3 linked regions of the Drosophila melanogaster genome follow. The protein of the gene in region 2 interacts with the protein of the main gene of each other region in a pairwise test. Each region holds a gene or a part of one and is shown on either strand. Other genes may lie near its edges.

Region 1 (5,132 bases), on a different chromosome or scaffold from region 2:
CAACCACGTTCGCCTCCACCTGTCGCACTGCTGATAGAGGGCAAGGGCTTATCAAAGTCCCTGATGTCAGGTTGTCTCTTTACGTAAGCCAGGGACCCCACTCGTTGGCCCGTGCACAGGGACGGATTACGTTGTGGGGATTGGTCGATTGGCGCTGGTGCTCTGCAGCGCCGGGGTAGAGCGAAGGTTGCTCCCCCAGTGATTCACGGGACCAGACAGCGCCTCCGCCGCGCTGATAACGACGATAGCTTTATGGCTGGCTGATAGCTGATTGCCATAGCCACCACCCAGCAGAGCGCAACTCCGCGTCCCGCCGAACCATTCGCGTCATGGCGCACCAAGTTTTCGGGCCAAAAGATATGGTACCATGGCGGCATGTGGCGGCGTTTGTTGACTTGGCGTGAGATAACCAACCACCACCACCTTATCGCCGTCCCAGACGCAGCGCCCACACACTGAGGTGAAACCGGCGGGCGAACCCAAGAATGAATTTCTGGGTTTTGGGATCGTACGCTTGCATATCAAACACATGTGGGGGAAGTTTAGTATTTCTGATAAAGTGATAAAATTATAAATGAGAATGTGTGTGGGGTTTCACAAAGCTCAAGCTAGAAAATATCACTTTTGTTTTCAGTGTACTCAAATCAAATTTAATAAAATTAGCGTGATTTCCTTATGCAACACATCAGTTGGGGTTTTATATCCATTATAAAGTTCGGAATTCAAGGAAGCTTCTAAGCTTTAACTTTATAAACAGCTATTAAGCTTAAAGTCTAATTTTAACTTTGTAATAATAAAACATATTGAGAAATTGAGAAATATATTACAGAATTGAAATTAAGTGGCTTCCACGAAAGTTTTTATCCATTTCCCTTCAGAGTATAGGAATCACATAACGATTCAAATTGTCTGCTTAAACTTTTGATTCTTTGTCTCAAAACTATAACTATTTACTTTTTAGTCACAAGCTCGAATATATAGTTAGGTCAGGAAAACAATTAATTGTTTTATTAATAAATCTATTTATGGAAATTATGCAAGGCGATCTTATAGTGGCCTCTTTGTAGATTCTAGAACTAGCCATTCTCAGGCAAAAGATCTAGATGCGTCTTCAGACGTATTAGTCCATTCGCTTTTCTCTGAGTGCACTAGTACGGCTCCAAGAGTTGACGTACCTGTTCCAATGAAGGGGTGCGATTCGGATCGGGAGTGGGACTCGGATCGGTACGCAGGGTGGGGTGCGGCAGGGAATTCGCTACGCGGTACGAAGTGCAAGTCAGGCAGGCAGGCAGGCAGACGGCACCGGGCGATAAGACTTGCCCCCCAAAGAGCGATCATCGGGCACACACATGTGCCTGTGTACATATGTGGACTGGCTGGCTGGCTGACTAGCTGGCTCTCCACTTGTGCGTTGATAAGCGGGCCCAGACCGTACCCTGGTCGCCCCCCAGTCACCCATCTGCGTCGCAGTCCATCCAGCACAGAGTTTCACTCACGTAGTGTGTGCTTTTGCCCCAGATCCATTTGCCCCAGCGGATTTTTTTCCACCGCTCCACCGCTACGCACCTGCTCCTCGGCGCTCCACTGTTTTGGTTCCGTCTGCCGCCGTCTGCTCCCCCTGCCCCTGCCACGCCCCCGCCGGACCCGTCTGCAGCCTTCGAAACTGATAAGCATACCCTGTCCGTCTGGGCGACCCCTTATCGCCGTCCAAGTTTCGCATATTACCCGAACCTCTGCAGGCGAGCGGCTCATTCGATCGGCAGGCGCTTTAGCGAAAGCAACAAATTTTCTCGATCAGCACCCACCACAGACAACAAACATGGATATAATACAAAAGTCAATCTTCAACAGCGGCCCACACAGCAGAGGCATCTACGAGCCGCCTCTCGGCTACTTTACGCCGTATAACACACCACCGTACATAGCCGCCTACTCGGATTCCGGCAGCTGGTTGGCGGATCACCACCAACACCACCAGCAGCAGCACCAGCAGCACCAGCAGCAGATGCAGCACATCAGGTTTCCCACGCCGCCCATCACACCGCCGCGTCCCATCGCCGGATACGGATATCGTCAGCGCACCCAGTCCGTGATCATGAAGGCTCGTGGCCAGCAGGACGAGCTCTGCCGCAGTCCAGTGGAGTTCCCCGACGACAGCAAGTCCTGCAGCAGCAGCAGCGAGTGCGGCACCGCCAGCGATTTCGTATGCAACTGGACAGATTGCGATAGGTAAGTGTCAACTGCATTACAGAATTATTGTGAAAATTTCAAAGAAATTTCCTAAAGGGGTCTCAGCACTTTCGTAATGTTTTTTAAAAACGAAAAAAAAACTCAGCATTATATTTTCTTTTGAATTTTGAGTTGCCAGAGAAAGACATTGAGTAGTTCTAGAAAAATATAAAACACAGTTCCCCCGCGTTTTACCATTGAAACTGATTACGCATTCGAAAGAAATAAAAAAAAAACCCCGGAGGCAGCCTGGCATTTGCTGAACTGTTGGACTCGACTTTTTGATAAACCCTCCAATAGCGATAATAATGTGATTTTGGGTCAAATTGATAGAGATGCAGTGTATTGTTTATGGTCAGCAAGTGTATTAATATTGGATAAGAAATCAATCCAGTACATGTTATTTTCGTACTAACCACTTATATCCCTTTGATCCTTGCAGAGTTTTCGACACCTTGGATGCACTGGCACAGCACGTGACCCAGCGACATGCGATCGCCAGCCTGACAGACGGACTCTACTATTGCCGCTGGCGGGGATGTCAGCGCAGCGAGCGAGGATTCAATGCCCGCTACAAGATGCTTGTCCATACCCGCACCCACACGAAGGAGAAGCCACATCGCTGTCACCTGTGCGAGAAGTCCTTCTCGCGGGCGGAGAACCTGAAGATCCACATTAGGTCACACTCGGGCGAGAAACCCTACAAGTGCAGCTTCGAGGGCTGCCAGAAGGCGTACTCGAACTCCTCGGATCGTTTCAAGCACACGCGCACCCATTCGATGGAGAAGCCGTACATGTGCAAAGTGGCCGGCTGCCAGAAGCGCTACACGGATCCGTCCTCGCTGCGAAAGCACGTCAAGACCTTCAAGCACAGCATCCACCTGATCGCCAGCCAGCCGCTCACTCTGCCCAGCGTACCCTGTCTCCTGGAGGCCAGCAGCGAATCAGCGTTCACGTGTCTTCCCGCTGCCAGCAGTGTGGAGTCCACCAGCTCCTCCTCATCCGCCCGCTACTACGATGACTCCAACAATGAGCCCAGCGATTACTCGCTAAAACCCAAACAGGATGCGGAATTCTCGCCCAGCTATTGGCTAGGCGATAGACAGCATAGCTATCTCCACAGCGAGGACTTCTTCGTTAAGATGGACGTGGAGTCACCGCTCGACCTGCGCATCCATCGAATCTGAACTGGCCAATCGGTTCGCCTCTCGTCTCTCTTCCCCTTCTAGTCATTGCGCTGTTTCCCAGCTCTTGTCACCACACCTAGATTACTATTTAACGTGATTAAAGACTGTTGTAATTGAACTGCTCTAGTTTGGCATGGTGGCATGGGAGTATCTTCGGGATTGATCTGATCTAGGTTCCTTCATAGTGGTTCTGGGCAAAAAGAGTATTTCAAAGATTTCGAAAAACCATAAGCTCAAGGTATGGGAAAATCCCCAGTTACAGGCGATTCGTCACAAAACTAGTGACCAATCTTAATCGACTTCGATTAGAATTTATGATCCAGACAACCTTTGTTTGGAGGAAAATCCCCATTTCGAATGGCTGGGCTAATAGAGCGCTAGATATTGGAAAATATTTATTGTTTAAATGCGCATCTAGACGAGTTTTTCACACAACTGTTAATAACAGATTTAATGTTTTTTTTTGCGGTTTATAGGAATGTTAGTTGATCTAGATAACCTCTCGTTTTTATACAAACAACAAGAACAAACAAAATAAATAGCAAAAGTATTTCACATTTGAAATAGATGAATACACTTTAAAAGCGATATCAGGTTTTACACTATATATAGGCATATATATATACTGGCAACATACTACAGAGAAGAACCAAATAATCAAATTAATATTATTGTTGCACTCGCGTCATTTAAGGAAACATATACGTTGTAGTCGCATCATCAGGATCTGCTGTACAACTTGTACAGCTGGGCTGGATCTGTATCTGTATGTAGCTTGTGGCGGCTATCGGCTTCCATCATTACACTATGTCCAGTTACCGTAAGATTAGCCGTATCATTACGCTCTAAAAAATCTTACAACTCGTACAATATATTGTCGGCAAATTGGGCACTCGTTCAACACTTTTCCACAGCTCGTGCAGGTGGCCATGTGTCCGCACTCTAGAAAAACGCACTCAATCGGCGCATCCATGCAGATCTTGCACAGCTCATCAGTGGCGAGTTTTTCAACAGCTGCGTAAATGGTTGAATCGTTATGAGGGTGAAATTGTAGTGCAAAGTCCAAAGCTCACCTGGACACTCGCGCATGGTTTTCCACAGTCTGCTGACGCGGTCGAGAAGCTCCTGCTTCTCGCAACATCCTTTGTAGTCGACGCGGTGCAGCATCAGCACCTCCTTCAACTGCTTCACTGTCAAACCCTCCAAGTCTTTTCTATAAATCAATAGAGAGGCATTAATCGATCATGAACATTCTAGAGAATAGAGCATTTACAAATCCTCAAAGTCTTCCAAATTGACAAATCGTGAGTCAATGCCGGCTGTCGGTTCGAAGTCCGATGGAGCGGCGTATACATGGATGCCCTCGTCATCGTCCCAGCGGATATCTTCGTCCTGCGTTGGCGAGAACTCAATTGTTGGCGTGATGGGCATGTCCGGTGATCTTCCACCAGCAGCCACACTGATAGCATCCACGCTGAGTGGCGACACCGCGTGGCTGTCCGCATCGGAGGCATCCACCGACTTGGTTCGCTGCTCCAGGTACGTGAGAAACTCCTGGAGCTCCCGTTTGATGTCCTCCTCGGACATTTGCGAGTTCTCCAGATGGCGTCGCATTTTCTCAACATGTCGACGAATGTTTGTCTTATTCTTACCGCAGCGCTGGCAGCTCTGGCGATGGGAGTGCGGATGCAAGCCGTGCTCTGGGTGTTCACTCAG
Region 2 (5,998 bases):
TTGCCTAGGCAAGTTTAGTTCGTAGGTATACACTTAATTGATAATACTTATTTTTTTTTTTCATAATTGTATACACACACACACACACACACACACCTATGCTTAGAGTTGTTAACTAATTTAAAAACAAAAAAGGAGAAAACCCCAACAAAAAAAAAAAAAAGAACAAACTAAAGAAAATCGAAACAAAATCAATTCAAGAAATCCAACCGCAAGGGAACGTCTCAGTCCAAATTGTCGGTACACGAATTCTTATTTTATTTGATTAACCAAAAGAAAATGTTATTAAAAATGTAGTCCGATCCCCATTCCCAAATCATCATCCTACGGACCGCTATGAGCAAATTCAATGAAATCTTATTGTTTTTCGATTTTAATTCGGCACATCACCCATGCACCTGTAATTTATACACACGCAAAAGGAACACCCACACACGCACACACACACACCCACACCTACACCTACACCCAAACACGCCGGCAGACACTGGGAAGAAATCCAGCACGATCCGCAGAATCAGAACCACAAACCAATAATATGGATACAAATGTAGTTAATAAGTCACAACAACCACGACATTTTTGTATATGCCAATGACGCGCCTAAACAAAAAAAAAAATGAAAACAAAAAAAAAAGAATGAAAAGTAATCCGAAATTGCTTTCTAATGACCAGAAGCCTTCGCAAGTAGGTGCCAGGATGCAGGATGCTATCCCCCAAATTGCAGTGACAATTCAGTAAATTAATGATACATGTTTGGAGTCTCTGCCGTCTTCCACCATGTGTATTCTTCGTCTACATCTTCACCCCCACCATCTGCATGCATCCAATCCTCCTTGTCAATGTGTCCTTGTATATAGATCCATGGGTCCTTCCAGATCATCTTTCCATCGGGGACTCTGATCCTGAAATAGCAGTAGGATTTATGATAGCAACTATCTGTGTCGAATCTAACCAAATCTGTAACTGTATCATGCACCTTTTTTTTTATGTATATTTGGGGTTCTGATTTCTATTTATTCTGTGCGTGAGCCTGTGTGTGCCCTGCAGTTGCATTCACCGATCCATTTTCATCGATGAATCACCGCTCAATTTGTTTTCAAAGAGCGATGAATTGTGGAACTGCAGGGTGTGGTTGAGATTAGGGATGCGTGTTTGTCTTTGTATATAGAGGCGGTCAATAGGTTCGTGTCTTTCCCCGGCTTACACTCGCAGCAAATTTCGTTTTGTTTGTGTAAATTAGTTTTTTTTTTTCGAAAGCGAGTAAAGAACAGAAAAAAAGATCACAAAACAACCCTTATTCTATATAAAGAACATATATATATATATATACAAAAATATATATATTTAAATACGAAAAATGTTGTATCTAGTAATACATATACAAAAATGAGAAACATTTTTTTTCTATACTTAATTTTAGCATTTAATTGAGAATAATTCGCACGAGGAGATAAACGTGAAATGTATGAAAATAAAAATTGGGAAAACCAAACGATTCAAACAAAAGAAGTTTTTAATTCAGTCAATATATATATATAAACAGGAACATATATATAGTAAAACCTCTATATATAGCGACATCCCTATATTTGCATATATGAATATAACACCAACATATATATATATATATATATATATTTTAACATCACCCGACGACAGAACAAGACGCATTTGATTTTGTCCAATCTGATCGAATCGCCCAAGTTCTAGCAGATGCATTTGGCATACTAGCATATAATTGTTGACCTTTTGTTGTTACCTAACGAGGGCATTAACTAGAAGACGATGATGATGATAAGGCGTAGTATAGCAAGATAGAAAGATAGAAAGATAGCCTGATAGCAGGATGGCTGGATAGCTGGATAGGATGGGTCAAGTGGAGTCGAGTCGAGGAGTATGTACCATATAGCAAAAAAAAAAAAAAAAAAAAAAAAACTCACTAAAGAATCACTTTTCTGAAACGTAAAAGCAAACGATCTTAGCCTTAAGCGCCTACCGCTAAACAGAATAACTTTAAAGCAACGTTACGTGTGGCACGTAATGCAGGAACTAATAATACTATTATTAATAATAATAATATTAACTATTACGATTATGAAGCAGAAAATCAAGGGGGAAACTAGTTTTCGCTGGCAGAAAGGGTGGATATAGAAACCATTACATTAACATACATGACATCATTTTGGCCCCTTTAGCATTCTCTAGATATACAAATACAAGAATTCTTAGTAAGCCTATTATTAATGGAGGAGAGCGTGTAAGCAGAAAATGCGAAGGAAACCAATTAACAAGTAAAACGTAAAACATAAAACATATTTTACCTTTAATGCGTACACTTAGTATTAATGAAATGGCCGACAAAAGCAAAAAACTATAAGAAATGAGACAAAAAATAAATAAAAAGGAAAAAAACAAAAAACTAAAGAAAACAGAGAAAATTTGCAAAAAAAAAAAAAAATAATAAAAAAAATAAACAAAAATTCATAAAAAAAAAAACAAACAATAGTGTGTTCTTATTTCATCGAAATTGTAATCGAATCGTTATCAATAGTGCCTTTTTCTATATTTATATATATTTTTACATATGCACAGTAATCAATGGATTGATTATTATTGTTTATTATTGTTTATTATTATTTTGTTTATCTCGAACCTCAGCTGAAATAATCGCAAAAGGGTCGCAACCTGCCAGCAATCACAAATCGTGCGATAAGAAGGTTATCTGCAGCATCAGCACCTTTCTGGGGGCTATAAAAAAGTGATCGCCACCGAATGGGGCGATCAGTTTGACTTTTGAATTCGTCGCGATGTTTTCGATTAACGCCGTGATCCTGGGCATTTTGGTTACTTCCGTTATGGCCCAGGATGCAAGGGGAACGTGTGAACTGAGCATCGGTTCTCCGGCTCCGGTTGTTATTAGCAATTTTGGCTCCCAGCGTTTATTGTTCGATTCCGTGCGAAAATTAGAACGGGAAAATTACCAGACCATTGACCTTTTCTGCGCGAGCGGATTTTCCATAGACTATTACAAGTACTGTTTGATTATCTTCTACTCGCATTTGCTGATGATTTGCTTTCAGCTATTACAACAACCAGATCTCGACTACAATCAAAGCGACTAAACTTACAATGACCTGCGACCCTATTCATCGGTTTACCTATAAAGATGGCATAAAAGATGTAATTAGTGTTCGGTGTCTGGAGGTCGGCCCTCAGTTGTTTGAGAGCATGAACAAATTGCCAAATTGCACGGGCATGACTCTAGTTGTCGGAAGAAAATTCGATGGCATTGGTTTAATAAAATATTCAGCATTGTGCTATGATTTGGCCGCATTTCAATTGAAATATATTGGTTATACCACAAATTTCAATAATATCCAGATTTTCCCAGAGGTGGGTTGTGTTAACTTTTTGAGCAATATTATATATTGTTATATATTCACGTATTTTGTTTTTTTTTTTTTTTTGTTCCATATACATACATGTGTAGACCCAATTGGGACAACTTAACGATATCGGACTTGATACTCCTATCAGTTACCAAAAAAATCTATTCGAGACCATCAGGTAGGTGCAATAAGGAGGTTGCGCTATTCCTGTGATTAGAGGAGTGGCTCTTTGATTAAAATCATAATTAACATAATATCAATTCGAGCAGCAAGAGTGAACTTGATGCGTACTTGGCAAAGGAGAAGCAGTTGTTCACGGAGGACACTTTTCAGGTTGGCAGTTTGGTCCAGGATGAGATGGTTAGTAGACACTTGGTTGTCTACGAGGACTTGCTGACCACCGTCTGGTTGGAGGTTCTGCGTTCCGGCAACTGGAAGCATTGGACGAAGGCAATGCGTGATGCCATCGGTGTCCACTTCGACATTCGTTTGGGTGTTTCCGGAACCGTGAAGCTGCCGACGTTCGCCGGGCAATCATGCAACGGAAGCCGATCGCTCAACATTGAACTGATTGGTGGCAAATTCCTGCCCATTCCCGCCCACATTTGGGCCCATGTTCACGCTGTGGAAAAGTCCGGTACCGGACAGGATGAGTTCGTCATCATTGGACACAACTCGCCCTTCGTGCGTAAATGCCATTGAATGTGTTATGCTCAGAAATATTCAATCCTTTCGATCTTGCAGTATCGCAGTGACTTAAGCAATCTGTGCCCCTCGATGTGCAACCAAGTGTCCTGGCTGAGGAACACCCTCTTCTCCAGACTCCACGAGTTTCCCGCCTTTGGAATGGTGCAGTGCTGCCGTGTGGAGGATGTGGCCCACAAACTGGACAATTTTCCCGGTCCCTTTGAGAATGAAAATATGAATGTCAGCAGGACAACCGAGGCTACCACAATATAAACAGTTCCCTTTATATTATCCCTCTGTTCCAACAAATATGGGACTCTTTGTGTACATGCAATTTGTATAAAGCGCCTTTTAATGCATTAAAATGCATTTAATGCAATAATACTTGTCTATATAATCAGCCCGTATTGCTTTGTATCCGTATACGATCCTTAATTCCAGTAATAAAGTCACAATTTGCGCATATTTGAATCTTTAAATATTATGTCAGTCTTCGACTAGCTCTTGTCGAACGCGGATGTAAAATCTTCTATTCTCTCTGAGAACATTTTGGTGTACATTAAATATTTTCTGTTTTCTTCTTTAATTGTGATATTCGCAAAAAACTACAATCAAACGTTCAAGTGATGCAATTGGCGATGCTGAAGCATCTGCCGTTGAAAAAATGCGTACTAAAAGGAATAAACCACTAGTGGAGCGCCAGAACGAACGGGGCTCCAAGCAATTTACAAATTATTTTCGTCCACTACAAACTTTAGACGATGATAATGATGATAAACCTATTGAAACGGACACACTTGATGAAATAATAATCAAACCACCTCCTATAACATTAATTAAACAAAATACAAAATTTGTACACGAGCTAATGGCTAAAATTAAAACTGATGATTACTTTATTAAAACCATCTCAATTGGAATTAAAATATTTTTACCAAATATGGACTGTTTCAATGCAGCTTGTAACCAACTCAAGGAACATAACTGTGAGTTCTACACGTACGATACTAGATCAAACAAGCCATACAAAGCCATTTTATCCGGGCTGGATAAACTACCAATTGAAACTGTCAAATCCATGCTACAAAACCTAGGATTACAATGCACCGAAGTCAAAATTGTGGAAAAGAAAACTAAGTCTGATCATGAATTATTACTGTACATTGTTTATTTCGTAAACAAAAGTATCACAGTAAAGGAACTGCGCAAAAACTTTATGTATGTCAACCACACTAAAGTACGCTGGGAGTATAAAGTGAAATTGCAGAATAAAATTACTCAATGCTACAATTGCCAACTATTTGGACATGGATCAAATAATTGTTCAGTTAAAACATCATGTGCCCATTGTGCTGGATCACACCAGACTGCCGTATGTATGGACGTAAACAACAAAAAATGCGCTAACTGTAAAGGCGACCATCCATCGACAGAACTGACATGCCCATGCCGAATTTCTTATCTCAATTTACTTTCCAAACGCTCATCACAACGCATTGGAAGAAATAACTTGGAAGCTCATGGAATGAGGAATTCTAAGCAACACATCGCTCCATCTGCTCTCTTTGGAAATCAACCCCAGATCTCATTGCCTACTCAAACTAAGAGAGTGCAACAACTCAACTTTGGTAGCTATAGTAATGCACTCACCAATATTCATACTTTGCCTAATCCCAAAGCAAATATCACAAATGAAACTAATCTCTTTTCATGTGAAGAGATAAATTCTCTTTTGTCTGAATTAATAACAAGACTTAATGAATGCTCCAATAAGGGAGAGCAATTTCAAGTAATTTCTCAGTTAGCGATTAAGTATGTTTACACAAACAAATAATTTTATTGATAATTTGAATATTATGGCATGGAATGCTCGTGCCGTTAGAAACAAACGTATAGAACTGATCAAGTTCTTAGAAAAT
Region 3 (4,526 bases), on a different chromosome or scaffold from region 2:
TTTCAACACTTGCGCTATTTTATGAAAGCTTTCCTTAGCAGGCTGAGAATGTATACAATTATGCAAAATACGAAGAATTTTCCACAAGGAACAGCCTCCTTTCTTTCTTTTAATATAAACCTTCTGGCGGAAACATAGACTCAATGTTGTGGCAGTACGCCACCAGTGATCTGTCCTTGTCATCCGGGAATATTTTACCCAAAAACTCGAGCAATCCAGGCTGATTCTGTACAATTTCGGCGTACTCTTCAAACGCTATCACCCCATCCTTGTCAGTGTCGAATTTTCCGAATATGAACTCGCACATGTCCTGCTCGGAAACGGTGCTGAAATGCAAGCATAATTGTCAATAATGTCAGTACACTCACCGCTCGCAATTCGTTGACCTCGTCGTCGTCATCGCCAGTGAAGAATTGTTCAATGGCCACGCCGACCACCTCGCGATTCAGAACCACAGCACCACCGCTTGTATAAACCTGTAGTCCATGGGGAAATTTAATAAAGGAGTAGCCACGATTTCGGAGCAACCACCTCAAATGCGAACTTCATTCGCTCCTGCAGACTTCCGTTGAAGAACACACAGAACAGCCGCATCCAGGCTTCTGGAGAGACTGATCGGCCATCCTGCGTGATATTCATCGAAATCCGGTCGATGATGGTCACGTCGAAGATCCCAAAGCTGACGAGGAATAGATTGTACAGCTGGCTGGTGGACATCATGCGGGACCTGTTGTTCAGGGCGTACTTGTAAAACACGATCAGCAAGCTGACCACTTCGTTGGTGGAAAACTCCGTGGAGGCAGCGAAGCTCTTGATCAAAGTACTGTACATGGTGAGGAACTTGTTGTTGGCCATGTCGTCCAGGGTAAGGTCGATGCGGTTCATTGTGTTTTTTAATGGCAATGGTAAACAAGTAATTATTATTTAAAATGTTTTTTAAGAGAGTACTGTGTAATGGGGCGTGTGTTTCGGGTGTGTGATGAAAATGCCTAACTTATGAGGCTCTGGCCTGCTTAAAAGGGTGAGGGTTATGCAAGACAAATTGCAAATAGATTGGGTAAGTCGCAGCCGCAGCCTAAGGATTCGCCGGGAATGTAACTGGCGCAATTTAAAAGCGATAAAACAACGCCGCGACATAAAAAATACATCAGCCACGCTACATGGACTACATCTGTCCCCCATTTCGAATAAATATTTGAAACAAACCCGCCTGATGAAACACACAAAGGCTGAGAAAAAAGCTGAAAGCTGTGCGCATGAGAAACGCGAATATAATAATCCAAACAAAAGCGCTGAGATGGGTGTAAAGCCTTCCATGTGGAAATTCGTCGGAAATGGCTGTGTAGCCATTTTGTTTGGGGTAACAAATGTTCGGAATCTCCTTCCCTTTGTTGTATAATTGTATGCCCCCTTCGAAACACACTCACGCAAGCACACACTCACACGTGCCACGCCCACCGAAATACCAAAAAAAATGAGGAGGCGGCTGAGCAGCTCGACACGGCATAATAACAATAAAATAAGAGTGGATGATGAAGGAGAGAGGGCGGCAAGGATTCACGCTCCTTAATGTCTCCACAGTTGACATCGCCAAGTGTTGGCGGATTTACAGGCAAGTTGGGCTGGATTTTGGTATGGACTTTTGATTGATATATTTTACGTACGGTGTTTGGAAGAGACTTACGGCATAAATTTGTTAAGCAAGACAAATGGCGCGGAAGCGAAATTGGAAACATTTTAATTCTCATAAAACGCTTAAAGAGGGCAACCATATATTTTGTATTTTTGAAATCCAGAAAAGCAGGCGAAGGAAACATATGCCAGCTGCACTAGACATATCCATTAAATCATTGTAACTCCTTAATCGATAATCAAACAATATCATATATCCAGTAGTAAATCAAAGTAAAGAGTAAATCACCGTGAGCTTCCCTGAACCATGGAAAACCTAGACTCCACTGTCGATAGCACCGAGAACAGCAAGTTCTCGGCCCTGTACGGTGGATTGATTAAGGAGATCGCTGCAACCTCGAAGATGTCCACCTTGGACATCACCTGTTTGCTTTGCGTTTACTACAAGTTCGTCAGGTTCAACGGACCTGGCGCCAAACAGATGAAGAAGAATCAGTTCTACCAGATCTACTTGGTGCTCTTCAACGTGGCCAATGTTCAGGTGATTGAACGCTCCCTTCTGGCCATCACCAAGGATACCAAGTACGTGAGTCCCCGTGCCTGGGTTGATCTCTTTGAGCTGTACACCACAGAGGATCTGGAGCGCCGTATGAAGTTTGCCTTTGAAGTGGGTAATGGATTGTTAAGCATTTCTAGAAGGCTCTAATAGGGTTCTTTATTAGGTTTATGACACCAAGAACACCGGAGTTATCGATCGCGAGCAGGTGGGCGTGGCATGCGAGAAATTCTTCCACGAAGGCGACGACGAAGATGAACTAATTGAGCTCAGAGCGGTAAGCTTGCTTATCAATTTAGAATAATTTAATAAATTTACTCCTCACAGGACATGACTGAATTTATTATGAAGAAGTTTGATGTAGACAAGGATGGAGTCATTTCGTTTGAGGACTACTCCTCGGTTGTTTCACAACAACCCGTTTTGGTTGAGTTCTTGGGCTGGCTATTTCCATCGAACGAAGAAAGGGATCTTATGGCCCATGTTATCAACATGGACTCCATGCTCAATTATTGTAATCCGGACGCAAAATAGGCTTGTCGTTTGATTAAGCTTGATTATCCCACTGTGATAATAATCGAACGACAAACGACAATGAATGAGGACCAAAAGGATGCCGCCAAAGTAGTTGATCAAAATTTTTGTATGATTTCAAATTAATCATTTTTATAAGCATGATATATCAAATTTCCACCAACACTTTGAAAATAAAGCAAAATGTTTCGCGTGAGCTGTCTTAAAAGGACTTGCGATTGGTTCTTGTGTTAACTTGGTTTATATAAGGCGATAGAGTGGGCGACTCTTTATGTGAACTAGCAGACACTGCGTATGCATCATAAGCTCTCCAAAATCTCTGTTCACATTCTGCACGGGGCTCTGATCAAGTGGATATGCACACTTTAAAGAATACTGTATGGGTAACGGCGCTATGAGCCGTTTTGGATACTTATATAATTCCGATAGCCAAAAACGAAAAAATGCGACGCAGGAGCCTTTGAACTTATACGAAATAGTTTTTAAACATTGTTATTCAAAATCCATCTGCCAACCCGAACATAACACAAAAATCACAAAAAAAAAAAAAAATTAGAAAAAGAAAACACACACAAAAAAAAAGTTTCAAAATAAGGAAAAAAATAACAAAAAAAACTTTACAAGGAAATAAAAAACATTAAAAAGAATTTAGTTATGGAAAACCTAGACGCCACCATAGATAGCATGGAGAACAGTCGGTTTGCAGCGCTCTACGGGAGTTTGATCAAGGAGTTAACCCTAACTTCGGAGTTGTCCCAGACGGACATCACCTGTTTGCTCGTCGTTTATTACAAGTTCTCAAAGGCCAACGGACCGCAGTGCAAGCAGATGACCAAGAAGCAGTTCTATCAGATCTTCTTGGTGCTCTTCAACGTGGCCAGTGTCCAGGTGATCGAACGCACTCTGCTCGCGATCACAAAAGATACGAAATATGTCAGTCCCAGGGCCTGGATCCACCTCTTCGATCTCTACACAACCAATGACATTCAAGTGCGAATGCGATTTGCTTTCGAGGTCAGTCCTGCTATCCTTAAGTAAATTTGTATCGAAAATACGTTTTCCCATAGGTCTATGATACCAAAGGCACTGGCGTTATTGATCGCGAGCAAGTTGGCACGGCTTGTGAAAAATTTTTTTACGGCGAAGACGAAGATGAACTTAATGAACTTAAGGCGGTAAGTAAACATAATTACTCTTTAATCGTAGTAGTAATTAAAACAGTTTAATGGATATTACTAATTAACTATCTGTCTGATTGTTTAGGATATGACCGAGTTCCTAATGAAGAAGTTTGATCTGGACAAGGACGGAGTCATTTCCTACGAGGACTATTCTACTGTCGTGGAACAGCAGCCAATTTTAGTGGAGTTCTTAGGTTGGTTATTTCCATCAAAAGAGGACAAAGATCTTATGGCCCATTGCATTAACCTGCAACTTAAAATGAATTAAATATAATGTTGGTGGTCTTGAAAAAGTGTTTACTGAATAGTTTCCTTTTATCGAATGCTAGAAATCCACCCTGAAAAGGCATCTAAACATTGAGCGACACGTTATTTTTAAATTTAGGCCTTAAAATGCCAATCTTAAATATTGCTCTTGACCAGCAGCATCTGAATTAAAGCGATAACTCCTGCCGTGGCTTATAGTGGCCTAAGCTCACCTTCACTTCGGGCATTTGTGGTCGGCTGGGGTCCTCGACCCAGTTGAAGGCATCTCATAATTATATGATTCACCACAGCCACACATTCCACAGTGGATAGTATTGCAGTGCCTGTCGGAAGTGGAAGTCGGTTAAGTAGCTCAT

What was found. The genes of interacting proteins can lie anywhere in the genome.
Region 1: the proteins of CG2233 (region 2) and sug interact in a two-hybrid assay, tested with the Drosophila melanogaster proteins (one large-scale study listed by BioGRID).
Region 3: the proteins of CG2233 (region 2) and CG15177 interact in a two-hybrid assay, tested with the Drosophila melanogaster proteins (one large-scale study listed by BioGRID).

The regions. Positions count from the first base shown.
Region 1 is NT_033778.4:12,927,113-12,932,244, forward strand, and holds sug (sugarbabe), read left to right. Parts: upstream 1-1,747; 5' UTR 1,748-1,819; coding exon 1,820-2,229; intron 2,230-2,671; coding exon 2,672-3,416; 3' UTR 3,417-3,532; downstream 3,533-5,132. Other genes in the region: CG17019 (uncharacterized protein), read right to left, coding at 4,255-4,430, 4,490-4,629, 4,690-5,132. UniProt on the Drosophila melanogaster protein: Transcription factor which represses a set of lipase genes involved in fat catabolism.
Region 2 is NC_004354.4:8,034,298-8,040,295, reverse strand, and holds CG2233 (uncharacterized protein), read left to right. Parts: upstream 1-2,778; 5' UTR 2,779-2,810; coding exon 2,811-3,034; intron 3,035-3,083; coding exon 3,084-3,396; intron 3,397-3,493; coding exon 3,494-3,570; intron 3,571-3,661; coding exon 3,662-4,076; intron 4,077-4,136; coding exon 4,137-4,352; 3' UTR 4,353-4,555; downstream 4,556-5,998.
Region 3 is NT_033777.3:6,626,604-6,631,129, reverse strand, and holds CG15177 (uncharacterized protein), read left to right. Parts: upstream 1-1,808; 5' UTR 1,809-1,939; coding exon 1,940-2,299; intron 2,300-2,354; coding exon 2,355-2,465; intron 2,466-2,515; coding exon 2,516-2,722; 3' UTR 2,723-2,926; downstream 2,927-4,526. Other genes in the region: sunz (sungrazer), read right to left, coding at 110-310, 369-476, 532-885; sowi (solwind), read left to right, coding at 3,377-3,736, 3,790-3,897, 3,986-4,171.